4 linked regions of the Drosophila melanogaster genome follow. The protein of the gene in region 4 interacts with the protein of the main gene of each other region in a pairwise test. Each region holds a gene or a part of one and is shown on either strand. Other genes may lie near its edges. The genes, in order: CG15549, cpa, CG8141 and CG14506.

What was found.
Region 1: the proteins of CG14506 (region 4) and CG15549 interact in a two-hybrid assay, tested with the Drosophila melanogaster proteins (one large-scale study listed by BioGRID).
Region 2: the proteins of CG14506 (region 4) and cpa interact in a two-hybrid assay, tested with the Drosophila melanogaster proteins (one large-scale study listed by BioGRID).
Region 3: the proteins of CG14506 (region 4) and CG8141 interact in a two-hybrid assay, tested with the Drosophila melanogaster proteins (one large-scale study listed by BioGRID).

The regions. Positions count from the first base shown.
Region 1 is NT_033777.3:30,934,779-30,938,617, forward strand, and holds CG15549 (uncharacterized protein), read right to left. Parts: upstream 1,730-3,839; 5' UTR 1,681-1,729; coding exon 1,267-1,680; 3' UTR 618-1,266; downstream 1-617. Other genes in the region: CG15550 (uncharacterized protein), read right to left, coding at 1,889-2,320.
Region 2 is NT_033778.4:21,055,960-21,060,997, reverse strand, and holds cpa (capping protein alpha), read right to left. Parts: upstream 3,212-5,038; 5' UTR 2,977-3,211; coding exon 2,736-2,976; intron 2,615-2,735; coding exon 2,445-2,614; intron 2,387-2,444; coding exon 1,937-2,386; 3' UTR 1,115-1,936; downstream 1-1,114. Other genes in the region: mRpL54 (mitochondrial ribosomal protein L54), read right to left, coding at 1-85; CG15653 (uncharacterized protein), read left to right, coding at 530-818, 876-1,099; shg (shotgun), read left to right, coding at 4,525-5,038. UniProt on the Drosophila melanogaster protein: F-actin-capping proteins bind in a Ca(2+)-independent manner to the fast growing ends of actin filaments (barbed end) thereby blocking the exchange of subunits at these ends.
Region 3 is NT_033777.3:13,189,414-13,193,184, reverse strand, and holds CG8141 (uncharacterized protein), read right to left. Parts: upstream 1,587-3,771; 5' UTR 1,485-1,586; coding exon 1,382-1,484; intron 1,333-1,381; coding exon 716-1,332; 3' UTR 676-715; downstream 1-675.
Region 4 is NT_033777.3:29,292,901-29,299,232, reverse strand, and holds CG14506 (uncharacterized protein), read left to right. Parts: upstream 1-2,052; 5' UTR 2,053-2,138; coding exon 2,139-2,178; intron 2,179-2,239; coding exon 2,240-3,414; 3' UTR 3,415-4,072; intron 4,073-4,147; 3' UTR 4,148-5,490; downstream 5,491-6,332.

The sequences.
Region 1 (3,839 bases), 1.6 Mb from region 4:
ATACATTTTTATCAAATATAAATACACACTCGTATGGGTTCAATCCGCTTGTGCGGCCCAGCCAATCCGAAACCGAACAACTACACAAGTTTATAAAAGACACTCGTTGGCGGCCCTTTGTGTCTTTGTGTTGAGTGCTTTTTGGCTAAATGCGAAATCGATTGGAAAACAATTTCCAATTTTTAAAGAATTATCGCCGCCATATTCGCGCATGCTGTACTAAATCACACATAAGCAACCTCTAAATCTGCTACCCGGGACCCCCAGCCCGACCCCCCACCACCCACCACTCCACACACATGGGCAACCTTTTCGCAAAGCTTTTCCTTTTTGGCTCGTTTATTTCCTTTTTATTTTCCGCTTTTCCAGCTCCCCCGCCCGCCAATATTTTCCATTTCATTTTCTGCGCGGTTGGCAGCGCGTTTAGCTTTGGCTGCATGCCTGACTGACTTTCAGTTATACTAAAAATATATACATTTATATTCGCACACATAAGCTGAACAGCAGGGGAAATGAACAAAAAAAAAAAAAAAAACGAAGAACTATTAGGAAGCAGAGGGGCTTTAAATATTAAAGCGAATACTGTGAAATAGACTAGAGACTAAAGACTATAGGTTGAAATAAAATATTTAGTTTCCCGATTTTAATAGTCTCTCATTCACTTAAAACAGAAAGAAGCTGTGACAAAATATACACAATCCTATTTGCAACGCTCCTCTCTGAGTGCCCTCGGGTGTACCCTTATGGTTGTTATCTCCACCGCAATAGCTACTGAATCCGCAGAGGAGCGAGCTGGTGATCCGGGACCGGGGTCCGGGGTCTGGGAAGGACTTCGAGGACTGGCAACGCAACCCGCAGCCATTTAGTTTTATGTGCCCCGCTCGGTTGGGTTATTGCACCTTTGACTCGACTCCACAGCCATCTGAATTCCACGCCACCTTCGACTTGCTCCGGAGGAGGTGTCACCCTGGAGGGCATGTATCCACAAAGCATCTCGCATGTGAGAGCCATTTATTATTATTTGCTTTCAGCAAATGTGAGCCCGAGGCTCGGCCGCAAGTATTTCCTAATCAGGTTTTAACTACTAATAGGATTTCCGAGGTGGCGAATCGTAATTTACATGGCTTTGGCCGGAGATACCCAAAGAATTGAATTGGAATCCAGAGCAAAGCTGCCGCTAATGTATTGCAGATTATGGTAAATCCCTCGGCACTTCCTTCCTGATTCCCAGCCCCTTAGTCCAAGGACCTCATGCTCACACGTGCTCTAGCACTGAGTGGATCCAATGGAGACTCCGCTCAGATCCCTGAAGCGCCTGAATCGCTCGATTCTCCGCTGGCGAAGGTAGCGCCTTATTTCGCAGGCCGCGTTGCAGGCCACCAGGCCCAGCATGAGGGCCGTGATGAGCCCGGCGAAGATCAGCAGGAACCAGTGGAAGTAGCAGCTCATGGTCACTGGCCTTTGAAGCCAGCCGCTCCAGGATGCGGTGCACTCCTCCTGGACGCACCTTCCGCGCACATTCCTCACACATCCCTTGGCACAGCACCCGTTCGTACTGAAGCGGCCACAGGATGTCAGTTCGATCCTGGGATCTGAGCAGTTCACCGCCGCATACTGCCCCCAAATCCGAGGGATAATTTGGGCCAGAAGGCAGCTTAGGGTCAACAGATTGGCCAACATACTGCACTTTTTGCCACACGTCGAATAGCATGAATTTTGAGGATTCTCAAATAAATTTAAGGCTAAGTCAGTGCTGACTGCAACATGTATTTTAATAAAACTAAAGCAAATAGTTGGAAACTATCTAAGTATTGTATAATTTCATTTTTAATATATATGCAAGGTTGTAAAGTTAATATTTATAATTCCACTTAAAATCGGTTTTATCTCACTCTTTATCTTTATGTTTGTTTCTGGTCTCCAAAAATGCCCTGGCTTTTTCTGCCCTCTCCCGCGCCTCGTTGGCCTCCTGTTCCTGCTCCTGGGGATCCATAGGCGGAATATACTCCGGCGGATTCTGCTCCCGGGCATTTGGGATGAAGGGAGCATGTGGCCAAACGGAGGGCTTAGCCTGCAGCAGCCACAGTTCGTCAAGTTGGCTCTGAAGATACTGGACCGCCTTCTGATGGCGATTGGCCATGAAGTAGGCGCAGCCTATCCAAATACAAGTGATCAGGACTACGCTGGAGATGATCAGCACTTTGGTGGGTATGGATTCCAGTGAAAAGCTCCACGATTCGGATATCGCTGGCTGTTGAGCTGCCAGTACTTCCTGCACCAGCGAAATAGGGAACCACTTTACGGCGATCTTGTAAGTCATTGCGCGGAATTTCTTCAACTGAAGCTTTGGAAATCGTGGAGCTGACTTTATAGGCTCCACTTATCGCAAAGACGACGGGCCTTTCCCAGAACTATTCCATTGGGAGGAGAACTATTCCAATGGGAGTCTTTAAAAAATGTTCCAAATGATTCGAAAATAAAACAAGACTTTTGATATAAAATAAATATTATACTGCATTATATTACTTTCATTTTAAACAATCGTACTTACTTAGCCCTAGATATTAAAAGTGTGAGATTCGTATGTAAAGTTGGTTAAGTTTAAACTTCTGTTATTATTGCTTTCGGTTATTATTCCACAGGGCTTAATTATTGTGGCCAAATGGGAATGGGGAATGGCAGCCGAGTCTTGATTAGAAGTGCCAAATCAGCTCGCAATTCACTCGATTCACCGCTCAAAGAGACCGTAAACCAAATCGGCATAACAAAGTGATTCTAATGTAATTCGTGATTTTGCATAATTATAAAGTTAATAATTAAAATTGCTGCGTGCACAAACCGAAATGAAAACATTAAACTTTAATGATGATTTTGGGCCGTACAGGTGCATTGGTCATTTGGCATTTACAGGGTGGATTTGGCAGGGGGTTCACCACCTCCCATCGGCAAATAAACTAATGCGTAAATATTAGCAAATTCCACCCGTTCCCCCCTTCCCCACCACCAGCAGAATATCCACATAAATTTGAGACACATATGCAGTGCGTTTGTAATAAGCAATCAATTATTATTATTGAATTTCGGGCATGGTCAGGTGCAAAGAGGCGGCGGCGGGCGGTGGGCGTGGCAGCTGGTCAACGCCACTAATGCGTCTAATGAGAATTTAAGCACACTTCAACCCTCTCGATTCGATTTGAACCCAACCCATTCGGAATTTGGGGAATTTTGCGTGGATTTGCACAGCACACACAGCCCCCAAGTACAGTTGTGCTCTTCTCTCGGCTCCAAATGCAAATGCAAATACAATTACATTCGGAACCCATTTAGCGGCATTTCGGTTTGCTTTTCGTACATTTTCCAATTTGTTAGTCGAAACTGCGCAAATCTGTGATTTGCGGTTCGGCGTAGGATTTTTGAAATATGAGTGGATGTTACATATTCAAAGCCATATTATGCGAATACTATTATCGTCATTAGATATATAAGCTATTTGAATTTGTATGATTATTATTTGATTTTAAATTATCTAAGCTGTCTCATATCAAATATGTACAAATCTGAGTGAAAAAGCTAACCTATTTCAAAGTAGATAACCGAGTGTAGATATATCTCAACTGGAAGAGAAGTCATAATTATTGGGTCACCCTGATAAAGATCCCCAAAACAGGATAGTTTCCCCTCTACTATGTTACTATGTGAGGGGGTGGGGTTCGAGAACACCCCTCAAAGTGCCCGCTTAACTGGGTTTCATGTGACCCTGCTAAACCGACATCGTTAATGATAATTTAATTATTGCCCGGCATTTCGGGCTTTGGCGACTTACGCACTCCTGCGAACGA
Region 2 (5,038 bases), on a different chromosome or scaffold from region 4:
CAGCATAAAAACGTGCCCAGTTTCCTATCGCTGGGGCTATCAATCGCTGCCTCGCCATCTGGAAAACTGCGGTTAGGCTGGTCATGTCTGCTATGTGCTTTATTTAATCCGTTTTCGTCACTTTAATAGAAAAACAAATGATAAATTACAGATATTTACAAAACTGTGCGTTTTGTTGTATAATCTGCTAACTATAAGTGTGGCACTGCAGCCCTGGTTATAAAGTATACGACCAGTCAGCTGATTTTTCAAAACAAATAACTATCGAAATTATTTTTAAATGAAAAGCAATTTTATGAGCAATTTTATAATATGACTTAATTGTCACTAAAACAACATAACAATAGATGATGTTGTTATATTTTCTGCAAATAATTTGCATATAAATGCATTTAGAGGTGGACTTCGGTCTTAATAAGCCTTTTCACATAACGATATCGACCAGCTGTCATCGCTAATTCGACGCCGGCTATACGGTATATTACACAAGTAACAGCAGCTGGATTGTAAATAAAAAAGCGTTAGCAAGATGGTTGGACTCAAGTTTCCGTCGAACCGAACACTGGGCAATATTTGTGTCTACGGTGCGGTGGCCTCCATATCCGCTGTGATGTACATGAAATGGAAGATGGAGGATCGGGTGAAATCCGCAGAGTACTACAAACTGGCCTTGAAGGCACTGCGGAGCCATCGAGGAGCAGTTGGTCTCCTGGGTGAACCCATCAAGGACTCTGGCATCGATCTGTCCAACGCCAACAACAATTGCAATGCGGAGGAGGCGCGTTGTGAGGTGGCTGTGCGGGGCAGCAAGGATAAAGGTAGATCCATCGATTTTGAAAGCAAATCTTTGGCGTTTACCAACCTTATATTTGCAGGAACTTTATACTTTTGGGCGTCCAATCAGCCGGATAGAGGCTGGCTGATCGATCGACTGGAGCTGGAAACAAAACTCAACCCAGAGAAACGATTTTTGCTTAAAAAATCCGAGGAACTAACCTTCGATCTGCCCGAGAGTATAACCAAACAAACTGCCCAGCAAGTTGATTCCAATGTCATTCTATCCGCATCGGATCAACAACCAGAAACACATTCAAAGTGAAGACAATCCGAATGTCCGATTCAATTAGTTTATTCTCTTTAAATTTGACTAATTCAAGCAATCTTAAATGTTTTATAGTTATGTTATTTTAATTACAAATTTATTGTTTTTATAAAATCAAAGTCTTTAGTTATTGTTTGTCAATGGAGAGCTGGCAAAAATGATCAGTGGTTTAGCATAGTTATTATTCATGCTCATACTAGGTGGTTGGTTTGTGAACAATCGGGAAAGCGAAAAACTTGAATGAGTGCTCCTAATGATACCACTTAAAATAGTCGAGAGTCGGCTGGTTGGTCTTCAAAGACACGAAGAATTGACTGGCTCATCGAGAGCGCAGATCTCGAGCTTGATTCGTTTAAAATTAGAATAATACATAGGTCAGAGGACATGATAAAATCCGCGTTTAATGCTCTTCTTAAACGATAAAGGCGACAATTGGTGGCGATCGTGACGTAGACGAGGCGGCAGTGCATCGTTCACCGTCAGGCTAAAGTCATCCAAATCCTTGCAATCAAATCGTCTCCGATCGTACTCGATATATGTGTAGTTATGTTTACGCACTTTCGTCGTTGTATAACACAGTATAAATACAGGCCGTATATATATATATAAGTAGGTATATGTTCGTATGTATATAGCCAATTACAGACATTTGCTTTTTCGGCAGGCACCTGCACCTGGCCGCCCTCGTTTCTCGTATTCCTGCTACTTCGTTTCGGATGCTGTGGTGTTAATGCTGGTGATCGGTTCCTATGCTCGCTTGGCCATGGCAAGTGGAAGACTATTGGGCCGCTTTGTCGACTGTGTCCGCTCCTCTTCCGCTTGCACCTCCTGGTCTTATTGCGTCTTCAGTTCCTTGCCAATGCTGTACGAGACGATTTTGCTCCAGTCGATCTTGGTCCTGGTGATGGGCAACTGGCGACGCATTGCCTTGAATGTCGTGTCCGACATCGTCTGATAGTTCTCCGAAATGGCCAGCTGGTACTCATTCTCGGCGTCCTCGATCAGACGGATCACCTCCTTGGCCACCTGCTGCTCGTTGCTGACCACCACGCTTTCGCGGCACTCCTTTGAGGACACCAGCTGGACGTTGCCGTCCTCGTAGTAATGCACCTGCACCTTGAGCACACCCTTCAGTTCGGCGGTTCCGCTGCCCGCCTGGAAGGTCACATGCCACTGGGAGCGCCATCGGCCATTCCAATAGTTCTTCGGCTGGAACTGGTGGTCTTCGATGCAAATGGTCAGGGTGATCTGGTTGCCCTGCGCCTTTCCAAAAACAGAGCTGACCTGTAGAGAAAATGTTACGGGTTATTGTAAGCAATAGAGCGTTTTTCATTCAACTTACCCCGTGTCTATAATGACTGGCAGTGTAGGCGAGCGTCTCCAGGTCGAGGGCCGCCCTCCAGGGCTCCGCAGTGGCATCTGCCTCTACGTCCTGGTAGTCGGAAGCCTCTTTTCGGAGGTGGTCGTATTTGAAGGCTTGCTTTGTGCGCGGGTCGTAGAAGCGACCGTTTCCTGGAATGCAATTGCTTATCAGTGTGGGGCTCAAGATATCGACCGAAAGCCAAACAATGTGTGTAGGTGACTCATATGGCAGGCTTTGTCCATTTAAGGGCATTGATGGAACTGAACTCACCCAGATCGTTGTGTTCCGATATGATGGCGTTATGATCGGTGCCCTCGATGCGAACCGGAGTCAGCTGGTCCTTGTTGTATTGGGCGAAGGCGTGGCTAGCCCCATCCTTTAGCAGAGTGTCATTCTTGAGGAGCTCCCGCACATCGTTGAACACTTCGTTGAACTCGCCGGGCGGCGCATGTAGGATGAAGTCCGATACGATGCGCACCTTCTCCGCATCGGTGATCGGTGTCTGCTCCATAGTTCCACTGGTGATTCACGAAATCGGGGCTGGGCGGTTGTTTGGTTTGGTCTGGTTTCCCCTCCGGTTCCTAGGGTTCTACCTTTCGACGGGATCTTCTTGTGGAGTGGTTGGAAGTTGCGGTGTCGCTGGAACTCTTCCTTGACCGTTTTTTCGGCGCTGCAATCTTTTTTCTCCGCAATTAATGGGCCAAGACGATGACGATTCGATTCACTTTTTTTTCCACTCTTTGCTAGGGATGGGAAATATTTGTGTACCTGTACCGGATGCGATTCACCGTATTTTACGGGCAGTCTACACTGCTCCATAATCCGACGGGTGAATGGCAAAAGTCTTGGCGCGTTACTTGAATTGCAATAAAAAAACTTTTAACGATGTAGAATGTAATACATTATAGAAATAGTTCCTCGAGACCAATAAATATCATTGCCTGTTCAAAACCAAACTCAATCAGAACTTTTTTAAAGCAAATTATGTTATTGTTGTACATGGTAGCTAGTTTTGGTTATTAAATATTTTTCAGTTATATAAGTATTAAAGTATTGATCAACTCGTTTAAAATTAACCTGTTTGTTTGTGAAAAATAGTTGTTAATAATTCTATTTGAAAGCCCAAGCTGGGCCATTTTTATCTTCCAGCTTCCATTTTTAAAGAAATATTTGTTATATTAAATCCAGTGTAATTGATTCACATCAACGTATTTATCGAGAAGTGTAGACAGTATATAGTATCGATAAAACGAAAACATCGAGATTATTAACCGTTAATTATCGATGACCGAGGAATCGACGGTGTCTCACATCTCTAACGCCGCCCGTTGTTTTTGTTGCATTGTGTTTTTGCTTTTGAATTGAGCGGTTGTCTCGCGCGTCGATCGCAGTTTCAAAATCGGTGTGGCTCCGCAGCTTCGTTGTAAGTCGACAATAAAAGCGATCGAAGTGAAAGAAAATACGTTTTGCGATCTTTTTATTTAAAATAATTCGCCAGAAAGTACAAGTTCACAACGAAATACCATCGAAAAGTGCCTTTTTACCAAAAGTCGTTGGTAACACACATACCAACGCAGCGAACCGAACCACACGCACACAAATGCGCGCGCTTGGCGGTGTGCGTGTAACCACTTTTTTACCTGGTCTTACCTGTTTGCGGTGCGAAAGAGAGGAGGCAACAGAAACGGAGAAAGAGAGTGCCCAAGCGGACGAGTGAAAGATAAAAGTGAACGAAAATATCAGCCAGAGCAGCTGCACCGAAATCGGAATAAGTCAGTTAACAATCAGGGCGCGCACTGTACGAGTTCGATTCGATTGATAATTATTGAGCGGTTGCCATGAAAATGCAGTCCAAACAAACGGTACACTGAGAGAAACGAAACAAGAAGAAGAGTGCAAATAGAATAGAATAAAAAAGAAGTGGAAGTAGAAGTGGGCAACACAAACAAAAGTAAAAGGTGTGTGAGTGAAATAATACTGGGTGATTCACGAAGAAGTGCTCAAAAGTGTTGCGGTTGAAAAAAAGAGAGTCTGCGATGGCGGATCGCCGCTAGAGAGTATGTCCACCAGTGTCCAGCGAATGTCCAGAAGCTACCACTGCATCAATATGTCGGCGACCCCGCAGGCCGGCCACCTAAATCCCGCCCAGCAACAGACGCACCAGCAGCACAAGCGAAAATGCCGCGACCTTGGCAGGCGACTAATCCCCGCGAGACTCCTCCTGGGCGTTATCGTGGCCATCAGCCTTCTGTCACCCGCCCTCGCACTTCACTCGCCGCCGGACAAAAACTTTTCCGGCGACAATCGTAAGCCCGCCTTCAAAAACTGCGCCGGATACGCTCCTAAGGTCAAAGAGGAGCAGCCCGAAAACACCTACGTTCTCACCGTAGAGGCCGTCGACCCTGATCCCGACCAGGTCATTCGATACAGCATCGTCCAGTCGCCGTTCGAGCGACCCAAGTTCTTTATCAATCCCAGCACGGGCGTAATCTTCACCACCCACACATTCGATCGTGACGAGCCGATCCACGAGAAGTTCGTCTTCGTCACCGTCCAGGCCACGGATAATGGTC
Region 3 (3,771 bases), about 16 Mb from region 4:
ATCTGCATCCGCTTCCTTTCAATGTCCGTGTCGCTTTCTCCACCTAGCTGACGCATTAACTTCTGTCACTTGCCTTTCGGTTATATATCCTTACGGATTTCTCGGCACTCACTTAATTAATGATAAATATTGCCCAGAGCCAAGCCGCTAAAGGCCGACACGCAACTCCAATTCCCCCACGGAGCTGTCATCAAGTGTCCATCCCCCACAAAAGTCGGTTAACAACTCAATTGGGCTAACCCAATTCCCCGAATATTCAGTTGACCATGGTTCATTAGCCAAAGTATTCGGTTCGTTTCTTTCCATACTCCTCAGGTGAAAAGGCTTTAAGTTCCGACTTAAAGCTGCTTAACTTTGCTTACAGTTTTGTCTGGTTTCCTAACTGCCCCAAGAATTTATTGTTTCAGCTGGCCAGGATGCCCCGGTACTTTGCGTTGTTGCACTTACTAACTTTGACTTGGCCAGAGAGTTCATAAAATATTTCTTCGATTCGTTGAAGATGCAAGAGGGTTCCAACGAAAATGTCTTGGCTGCAGAGGTTTGGGCAACAAATTATAATGAATGTTATATACGATTTAAATCATTCGATTTTATAAAATAGATACTTTCAGCATTAGCAGAAATTTATTGAGGTCCGACCAACCTCTTAAGATATTAACCAAAACGCACTCTTCTCCCATTAACCAAAAACAAAAATGTATTACAAAAACACCTCTTAGAACAGCGACAGTACGGACCATATCAGAAATATGAGCAACACGCATCCCAACTGGAACCACTTGAGAAAACTAATTTGTGCTCCGATCCAAGGGTACACCATTGGAATAAGCCTTATAGCGCAGTGAAGATCCCTCTCCCTGCGAATATCAGGGAAAGTCGCTGGGCACCCATCTACAGGATCGTTGACCGCGAACCAACAGGGAAAATCAGTATCAGAGAGATACAGTCCCGTCGGGCGAGGCACTGAGCCCGGCTGGGCCGGCACATTATTATCCTCCTGACGGGCATTGGGTCCCTCTCCATGGAAGGGCATGATGTCCTCGTACATGAGCAAATGTCGTTGACAGCATGGACATCTTGGCTGTGCTGTACCACTCAATTTGGGCCACAGGCAAGTCCAGCAAAACAAATGACCACAGATGGTGATCACACCACCACGCACATACTGGTTGCACTCATTGCACACATAGGGATCCAGATGCAAATTCCTGCGACGGTAGCGAAGTCTAGTTCCAGGCAAGAGGTCATCTTCGCCATCATTTTCCTGCTGCTGTTGCTGATTGACGTTTGCGTTGGACAAGTCTGGTATATAACCCTTTGAAATCACCTCACCTGCTCACCTTGAACATTAATAATTTTCCATTTAATTGGAATGCCTCACCTTGAAGGCCATGACTAGGATTCTCGGCAGTTTCATTCGCTGGAACTTCTTCATTTATATAGCAATGATTTGGTGGATCATTTTCTCTAGCAACTGCTTCCATTTCAAAATCTTTTTGTGATTATTGTTTTTAAAAACCCATGCTCCAAATTACATAAATATAAATTTGTGCCTGGCAAATTTGTGACAACTGAGTCAAAGCAAACGCGACTTTTTATAATATTCTTAACACAGATCTTAGGTACAATAGTAATTTTATTTCTCGATTATATGAAAAGCAAGACATTTTCAGCGACTTAAATTTGAGGGCATATTAATTAATGACTAAGTTTCACCGTAACATAGTTCATGCCAGATTTTGATTGTTTTGCAGACACTTAGTGATTTATATTAAAACCATTCCAGCATTCCGTCCAAGAATTGCAAAACAGCGAACTACACACGCCGAGCATTTGACAGTTCCGGAAAAACGGCGGAAAATCGAAATTCGTAGCATTCGCCAGATGTGTGACATATGGCGGCATAATTTATGCGAAAATTGAACCGGATAGTGAGTGGAAACTTCGCGGTCCGTTGCCGCTGCATTTAAATTCTGACAATTGTTTGCATTGTCCTGGCAGCACGTCTGCGGCATTGTTTAATCCCGATTTTTCGACATCGATGGGGACCATCGACTGCTTGTTAATTGACCCACATTTGTGAGCTGAGTACATAATTAAAAGAAAATAAAGCGCGGGACGGTCCAAATAAACCCGCCGACAGGCGTTCGCACACATAACAATGACAATAATAATAAAAGTGAAGTTTCATAGCGAAATTACACACTCGAACAGAATTAAATAAAGAACTATTACGCAGTGGTGTAAAATAACCTGTTCTTGTTCTGAATAAAAAACAAGCGGGAGTGTTGCGTGGTAAAATATAATGAAATTTAAGTTTTTAAGACCATCTATAAAATATTTTTAAAGTACTATAATTATATGGTAATGCGTAGCAAAGTATTTCCGAAGCTTGTGGACACACCGTGCGCTTTTTACTTACCCAGTGAAATAACAACTAGCGGAAAATAATGCATATTAATAGCGACTTTTTCACATATTACACAACTGCCGACATTTATCAGGCATTAATAATTACGTGTTAATACGTGAAATATGATTAAATTTTTATCAGTTTACATGAATCACTTTCGCACGTTTGCGTGCGAACAAGGACATTTTATTGGCTTCATTTGGCGACGGACCGCAGAGAAACTGACGTTTGCCCAATCGGAATTACAATCGCAATGCCAGTGGTTCTGCGTCATTTGGCATCCTATATCCCTGTCCACAAAGCGAATCCTTTAGCCTGTCCATTTGCCTGCTGTGAGTGGAGGGGCGTAATACACTGCGTATACGTAATGGGGGTGCCCCAGCGTATACGCAATAAAAAGTGGTAAAGCCGAGCGATGGCACAAGGATAACCGCCTGCGCTGGCCATTAAATGCAACAATAAATTCGGCAGTTCAACTCCAGTCAACTTCGTTGGCATGCCCGAAATTTAATTAGTTGGCATTTAACATTAAGCATTTCCACTGGCGCCGCGGCTGTCATTGGGCTTTGTTTTCGTTTTGCTTTTTATGTTATTTTTCAGTTAATTAAACGCACGCCAACATCTCGCCATTCTAAATTGTGCGCAATTAAATTTGGAATTACTTTCAACTGAGTATTCGCGTAGCTCTCGCCAGCGGCGCGGCAATAACTTAACTTGAAATTTTATTGTAAGCCCCTGCCTTGCCAACTGTCACTTTTGATGGGCAGCCATTGGAGCGTAATTAGGCTACTACAACGCTCCTAAAAACCCCTACCCAAATTACCAACCCCTTCTCACTACTTGTGCCAAAAAGCTAACTTTAACTTTTCCAGCTTGGCAAGCCTTTAAGTTCGTACCTAACTTCGTTTGTCTGATGCTCGAAAGTGCACTGTCTGCCGGCTTCATTATGCAAAATGCAATGGTACACAAGCCGATGTGAAGAGGCTGCTTGTCTCCCTTATGAGTTGCACTGTTCAGACTTATCCTGGCCAGAATGGTATTTTTTTGGGCCCTGATGGTGCCCAAGCACTCACACATACACTGCATACACTGATGGCATTTTCATAATCGAGAAAAAAAGGTACCGAAAATGTATGTAATGCCAAATTATTAAGACCCAGAATGAGTAAAAATCTTGGAAAGAAAGAAAATTTCAAACTTCAACCCTATTAACTAACATTTATTACATAGAATTACAAAAATATATTGTATAATTATTCTCAAGGCAGGGCATGCCCACTGCGACTTGGATAAACAATAACAGAGATTCTCTTACACTCGTATATGTTTTTCATATCACCTGCGAAGAAAGCACACAC
Region 4 (6,332 bases):
ATCTTCATCAGGCGACAATGACACAGACTTCGTGCTTATCGAGCGACTGCATAATGTCTTGACCAAATCACAGGGATGCGGATGCGGATTCGGATGCGGGTTCTAAGTTCTTGGTTCCGGGGTGACTGGGAAAGTCTTGAATGCAAATGTGTGCCTGTCTCTGATTTGTAATCAAATTAAATTTGTGTTTGGTACAAACAATGAGCGACAGACGACAACATCTCGCATCCGTGATAAAAGCCGAAATTCCTGGTAGACACCAAAGTCAGGCCGGAAAATGCAGTTTTCCCACAGTTGCCGCACGGCTCCAATCGCAACTTCTAGGGAAACTCCCTCACCACCAGAGCTGCGCTGGTGAAAACCTCATAAATTCTCACTTTTTGGCAGGCCGCACACGGCGAGGGAAATTCGAGGCGGCAGGACTCGAAGGACACAGCGCCAGGCGATGAATAGACATTCCCGAGATAATCAACGGCATTATCTTCTGATTATTATGTGTTCTTGGGGCATTTCAGGGAATTTCGTTATGATGAAACTCGCAAAAAATATCGAACTATATCCGGGATGATCGGCGGATGATGAGGATGCCGGGACACCCGGTTGAGTGGCTGAGTATCCGCTTTCCTTTCTCCTCTCTCGTTTAGTTTTTTTTTTTTTCGCAAATTCTCTGTGAGCTCATCATAATCATCATCAAACCCTCGGTCACTTGAGGTTTAAGCCAACATTAAAAAAGAGCCGAAAAAACACCCAAAGACGAAGGAAATCGCCGAAATGAACGTGAGAACACTGAATGTCCTCGTACCGAAATTTGCTTGGGCTCCTCATTGTTCGTTGAAGTGCTCGAGAGAGATTTGCTAGTTGTGTCCTTATTGTTTGCGGGCGAATGTTCATGAATGAATCAATGAATGCCTGAATGGCTAAACGGCTGAAGTTCACGTCCGCACAAAGTATCCGAGTATCTGAGGGATATTGCCGCGTTTTTAGCTGGAATCCCGGATGCAGTCGAGGCGTGAGAAGGAGGCGATCTCTGCGGCCTTGGCAACAAGTCTATTAGTCCGCCATGGTCCACTTGTTTATGGCTTACGTAACCTGGGTGGCAAAGGATGTGCAGGATCTGCACTGGCAGATGGATTCGTGAAAGGGATGCGCGCCCTGATTTCTGCGAGTTGGGTAAACATTCATCGCATCCGGTGCACCCTTGACCGATTGCGAATGCAAATCGCACATTAGAAGCCATGTGCAACTTTCCGCCCAGCAGTCAAACATTATGCAACCGAAACCGAAGGCCGCCCAGTCCATTGATGGCAAATGACAGGGAAACCCATTCGGGACACGTTTTTATGGAGGTGCGAAATGGCACATTTTTTCGACGAAACCTGCCGCGTCATTGAGTCGTCGTCCTTTTTACACCGGCTATGTGCAACCTGAACAACCTGTGCAAGCCTTGCAATTTGTCACCTGAGGCGACATTCAAACTGCCAACGCATTCCAGCTGGGTTTTTGCCTTTGGCCTACTGGTTCCTTTCATTTGGCCACGATTTGGTGGCAACAGTTTCATGAATCGCAGCCGGAATGCCGACCGTTACGAATATTCATTCATGGCACGGCAGCCACTCTGGGGACCTTAAATGGGGCTTTGACTTTGATCCTACAGTTTCATAAAATATTTATGAAATTTCCGATGAAAATATTTGTGCTCAGTTTGGCAAATCATTTCCTTGTGCGAAACGGATAAAAATTTTCCCAGGCCTCGATGAACTGAAAGTGCAATTTTCATTTATGCAATGGGAAAGGTTTGAGTAGGTTTGACTTTTAAGGATTTGGGGAAACCTCAGGGGAAAGACTTTAGATTCTGCGTAAAAATTAGGGAATTTATTTCTATGAATGGCAATTTTTAAGGGAAAACTCCCCACTTCACCACTCTTATAATAAATAGTCATTGATCAGAGTTGGCTTTGGGTTTGTCTATCAACCAAGTATATTTCAACTTGGCTTTAAAAAGCATGGATAGTTCATGGAGCTCCTTGATTTCCCTAGAACCCCTGGGAGTGACCAACACGCCATTGGACTTGCCTGGACTTGATTCGTGTCCTTCGCCAAAAAGAGCAAGGATTAGTGAATCCCAGCTGGGGGAAGCCATGCCCAGGGAACCAGCTAGTGTCTATGGGGAAAAGGCAGGTGAGAACGGCTATCGGGGACTTTAAGCTTCTCACGGACTTTGAATTATCCACAATCCTAGCAAATTTCCATTCCCTACAAGAGAAGGTGAAAACGTACCAACCTGGCACAGTGGTAGTCCAGCCACCCGAACGACGGCCTCCCGAGCCGGAACACGATCGCCTGATGTTCATTCCCGACCTAGACCAGGACATTACCCATCGGGATGTGTTCACCTATTTCAGCAAATTTGGGGATTTGGAGAGGGTCAGCGTGAGGAATGGCATGAGTAACTTTAACTACGCCATGGTGCGGTTTAGTCGCACTTCATACATGGAGCATGCCATCGAATCGAATCCACATCTGATCAAGGGATACCGATTGAACTGTCGCAAGGCGAAAGAAAAAAGTACAAATAAGGGAAGTCAGCAAAACTCTGGGACCATAAAAAAACCAAAGGCAACGATAACGCAGCCACACAAAGCTCCTGTAAGGCAGGCAGAGAAAAACGACGCCAAACAAAGTGGTCACAAATCTTTAGAGAAGAATTCGAAGCCACCAATTAACAGATCATTGCTTCTTCAAAAACTGGTAGAACCCACGTCCTATAGTCCATTTACCGCCGTAAAATCTGATCGAAACTATGCCTATGCATTAACCAATGACATTGGAATCTCCCGCTGGAGCTTTAACTTGTTGAAATTCGAACCCAGTTCAGACGAGGTGAGGGCCCTGGAAAAGGGTCTTTCCAGTTCGGCAAAGCTCCTACTGAGCATACGGAAGAAACTGGCTGCCGTGCCCCACAAGTCTGTCGAGCCACCAGCTCCAAAGTGGCCACAAACTCCTAGTGATAAAGCCGTTCCAAAAGTTACTCTTAAGATAGCTCCACCAATTCCTGCCTCTAGTCCAGTGCTCCCATCCCTGCCACAAACTCCTAGTGATAAAGCCGTTCCAAAAGTTATTTTTAAAATACCTCCACCACCTCCTGCCTCTAGTCCAGTGCTCCCATCCTTGCCGAGCCTTCTGCCGATCACTCCCCTAGTGCCTAAGCCCAAACCTGTTCTTCGAAAAGTTTCCAAGTCAGATCTCCGCTACGCCGTTCTAGCCAGTTTGGGTCAGAACTATGTCCATCACTGCTACACTAATGTGGCAGCTTATCGGCGGACCAAGAACTACGTCGACCTACAGCTCAGCGAGATGAAAGACCGACCCAGCATTTCGATGTTTGCGGATCAGATGTACGCACAGAAAGAGTAGGAATTACCAAATGCAAATCATATCTATCATATCATATATCATTCAATATAACAATAGTTAAGCAATATTTCCCAAGAAACTTCAAAGAACACTTTCATTATAAGGAAATGGCATACATTACATAAGTCGGACACTTTCTAAATTGAGGGAAGCCGAAGGATGTGACTTAGATTCCTGGAAGATATGAATGGAGCTGCTTGAATGAAACGTGAACATATTACACAAAAAGTTCCAATTCCAATTCAAAGGCACTTGAATCGCAGCAACCTGTCAACATAATTAATCCCCTGGATCAGCTGATGACGGTACTGCCCCTGACCGAATGATACACAAAATATGAACAATTCCTAGAGGGGGCGCGGGAATGCGATAAATGCGATGAAATAGGGGGCCTTGATTTCTGTAGCGCGGCCTCTGTTCTGCCCGACATTCCCAAGGATGTGCCTCCAAAAACCTGGCTTTCTTCTTGCTGGGCCGTGTTAATTGTCCAACATTGTGTGAGCGTGGACGTGAACAGGTCGGGTGCCATTAACAATCTTAACAACGATCCACAGCCACGGCCACGGCGATCCCACGGCTTGTCGCCTTGTTTCTCGAGCAGTTTTTTATGCCATTTACGAAGAAATCTTGCAACAAATCAGGAGCTCCCTTTTCCACAGTAAATACGAGTGTGCGAGAGCGACCTTTATTCGTTTGATGTTAAAAAAATTGTTCTACCTTCTCCCCCCCCCAGCACTACTTGTCTTCCTTTTTGGCCGGCCATCTCTGTGAACCTGTGACGACGCAATTCTTTGCCATTATCAGCTGCATCCTTGCAGGTCCTGCACTAGTTGCCCCCGCTCTCAATTCCGTTGCCGACCCCGATTCAATTTGGCTTTTATTGGGATCTCGGGCATCCCGATCCCGATCCCGATGCGATCCTAATTGCGGTGGCAATAGCTCGGCGTTTAATCACTTCGTACCTGCGGCTTAGACAGTCAAACCCGGCAGTCACTCATCGCGGCGGAGGCGGATATGTAGTAGAGCTGCACATATAAATGGGTATATGGTCCTGCAAATGGATCGACCTCGATGATTTTCACCAGCCAAATTGCGGCTTTGTGTTGCCTTTTCCCATTTGCCGGTGGATACATTTGGACTGGATCGTTATCTGGTTCTCTTTGTGCTTTCAAGGTTTATGGTCTAGCACACATATATTTCCTGTGAGAACAAATCCCAGTCCTGATGACCCCCGTAAACAAACCCGGTGAACATGGAACATCCCGACTAACAGCAACAACATCGGTGTCTTCCACTAAGTATTCGAATTCCCCTTCCAATTTTTGTGGGGCGATCGTGTACTCGCGGGCTGAAAAATCTACATAATGACAGGGCCACGCCGAAAACTAGTTCAGATCGCAAATTACGAACCGGTAAGGGATGGGATGAGATATACATGCATGTGTGTGTTGCAGTTCCCATTCAGGACACTCGGGACAGGACATCGAGCGCAACGGGAGACGCGGCGCGTTGAGGTTCGGCAAAGGTCATGTCAGGACTTTGCATAAAATGTTTGAAAATGTTTTCATTATGGTAAGTAGACACAAAAGTCCAACACACGAGCGATTCCCACCGAAAGGGGTGTCCTTTCCCAGCCCATCCCAGCCCGTGCGCCCAGGATCCTGGCATATATTGGTGATAAATTAGTTTAATGTTCGAAGCACCAAACTCGCAAGAAGCACACGAAAAAAAAAACACTCAACCGCAGCTGAGGCGGCAAAGTTTGGCAGGAAAATCCGACCTACCGTTTTTGGCGGCATTTTCCCGACATATACGTGTCCATCGAAATGAACTCGAGTCCTGGCAACTAATGAACTACGCAAACAATAGCTCAATGGCTACGCTTTAAGGAAAAAACGACGTAAAAATCACGTCTTGGAAATTTTCACATCGTTGATCTTAAATGGAAAATTACACTTCTCTAGCTGGACAGTGCAGGACAAACAGGATAGAATAGCGATCAGGACATGACACAATTGCAGTTTGCAGGACAATTGTTGCACTCACGCACGTGCAATGTGTTCCTGCAACTCGGTGTCTCTGGATTTCGAAGTCGAGTGCGCAGGGCCACGCCCATTGTGTGTCCCAGTGGCCGACTATATAGTACAGTGCGTTTCGTGAATGAAGCGACCAAAGTTACGAGTTACTTTGAATAGCGGCGGCGGTGGCAAGTGGATCAGATCCTGCGACAATGGCCTTTGTGTCCTTTGTCTTCCGCCTTGTTGGGGGTGTGCGGTGTTGTTGCAATTTTAGTGTAATTTTATTGTTATTAATTGTATGAAATGGGTTTTTAAATGGCCTTTGTCTAGGCCAATGAATGGCCATAGTCATAGTAAAAACGTGCCTTGTTAAAGGCATGTAATATCATAGGTTTTTTATTTTTAGCGGGACAAATAAATCTAGTAATTGTAACAAGAGTTATATTGTTTCCACACATTTCGCAGCAGTTTAGAGCACTTTCCTTTTAAACGAAAAGGAATGACTTTGTGTTACAACAACTATCATGTTATCAAAGCGGAATAATAAGTTTTTAAAGTAAATAAATAAATAAACTCAAGGCTATTGAGATCATTGCCAAAGAAAATATAATCACCGGCAATATGATGACTTCAAAAATACTCTAAGAAAAGCATTGTAATTGTCTGTTCTCTAAAATAATAGTAGATATATGAAGAAATTGTAAGGACTGCTCTTAGGAAGAACAGCAGTACTCCATAGAAATATGAACTGAAGTGTTCAGAATTCAAGTATCCTAAGGTCAAGCCTTGAAAACCACAAGATACCTTCGAGAAGTACTTTCAACTCGCCTCTCAAATTAAACAGAAGTTACTTTCCAAAAAGGATAACTCGGTCGCAGTTTCCTCTCCCCCCCTCCTTTC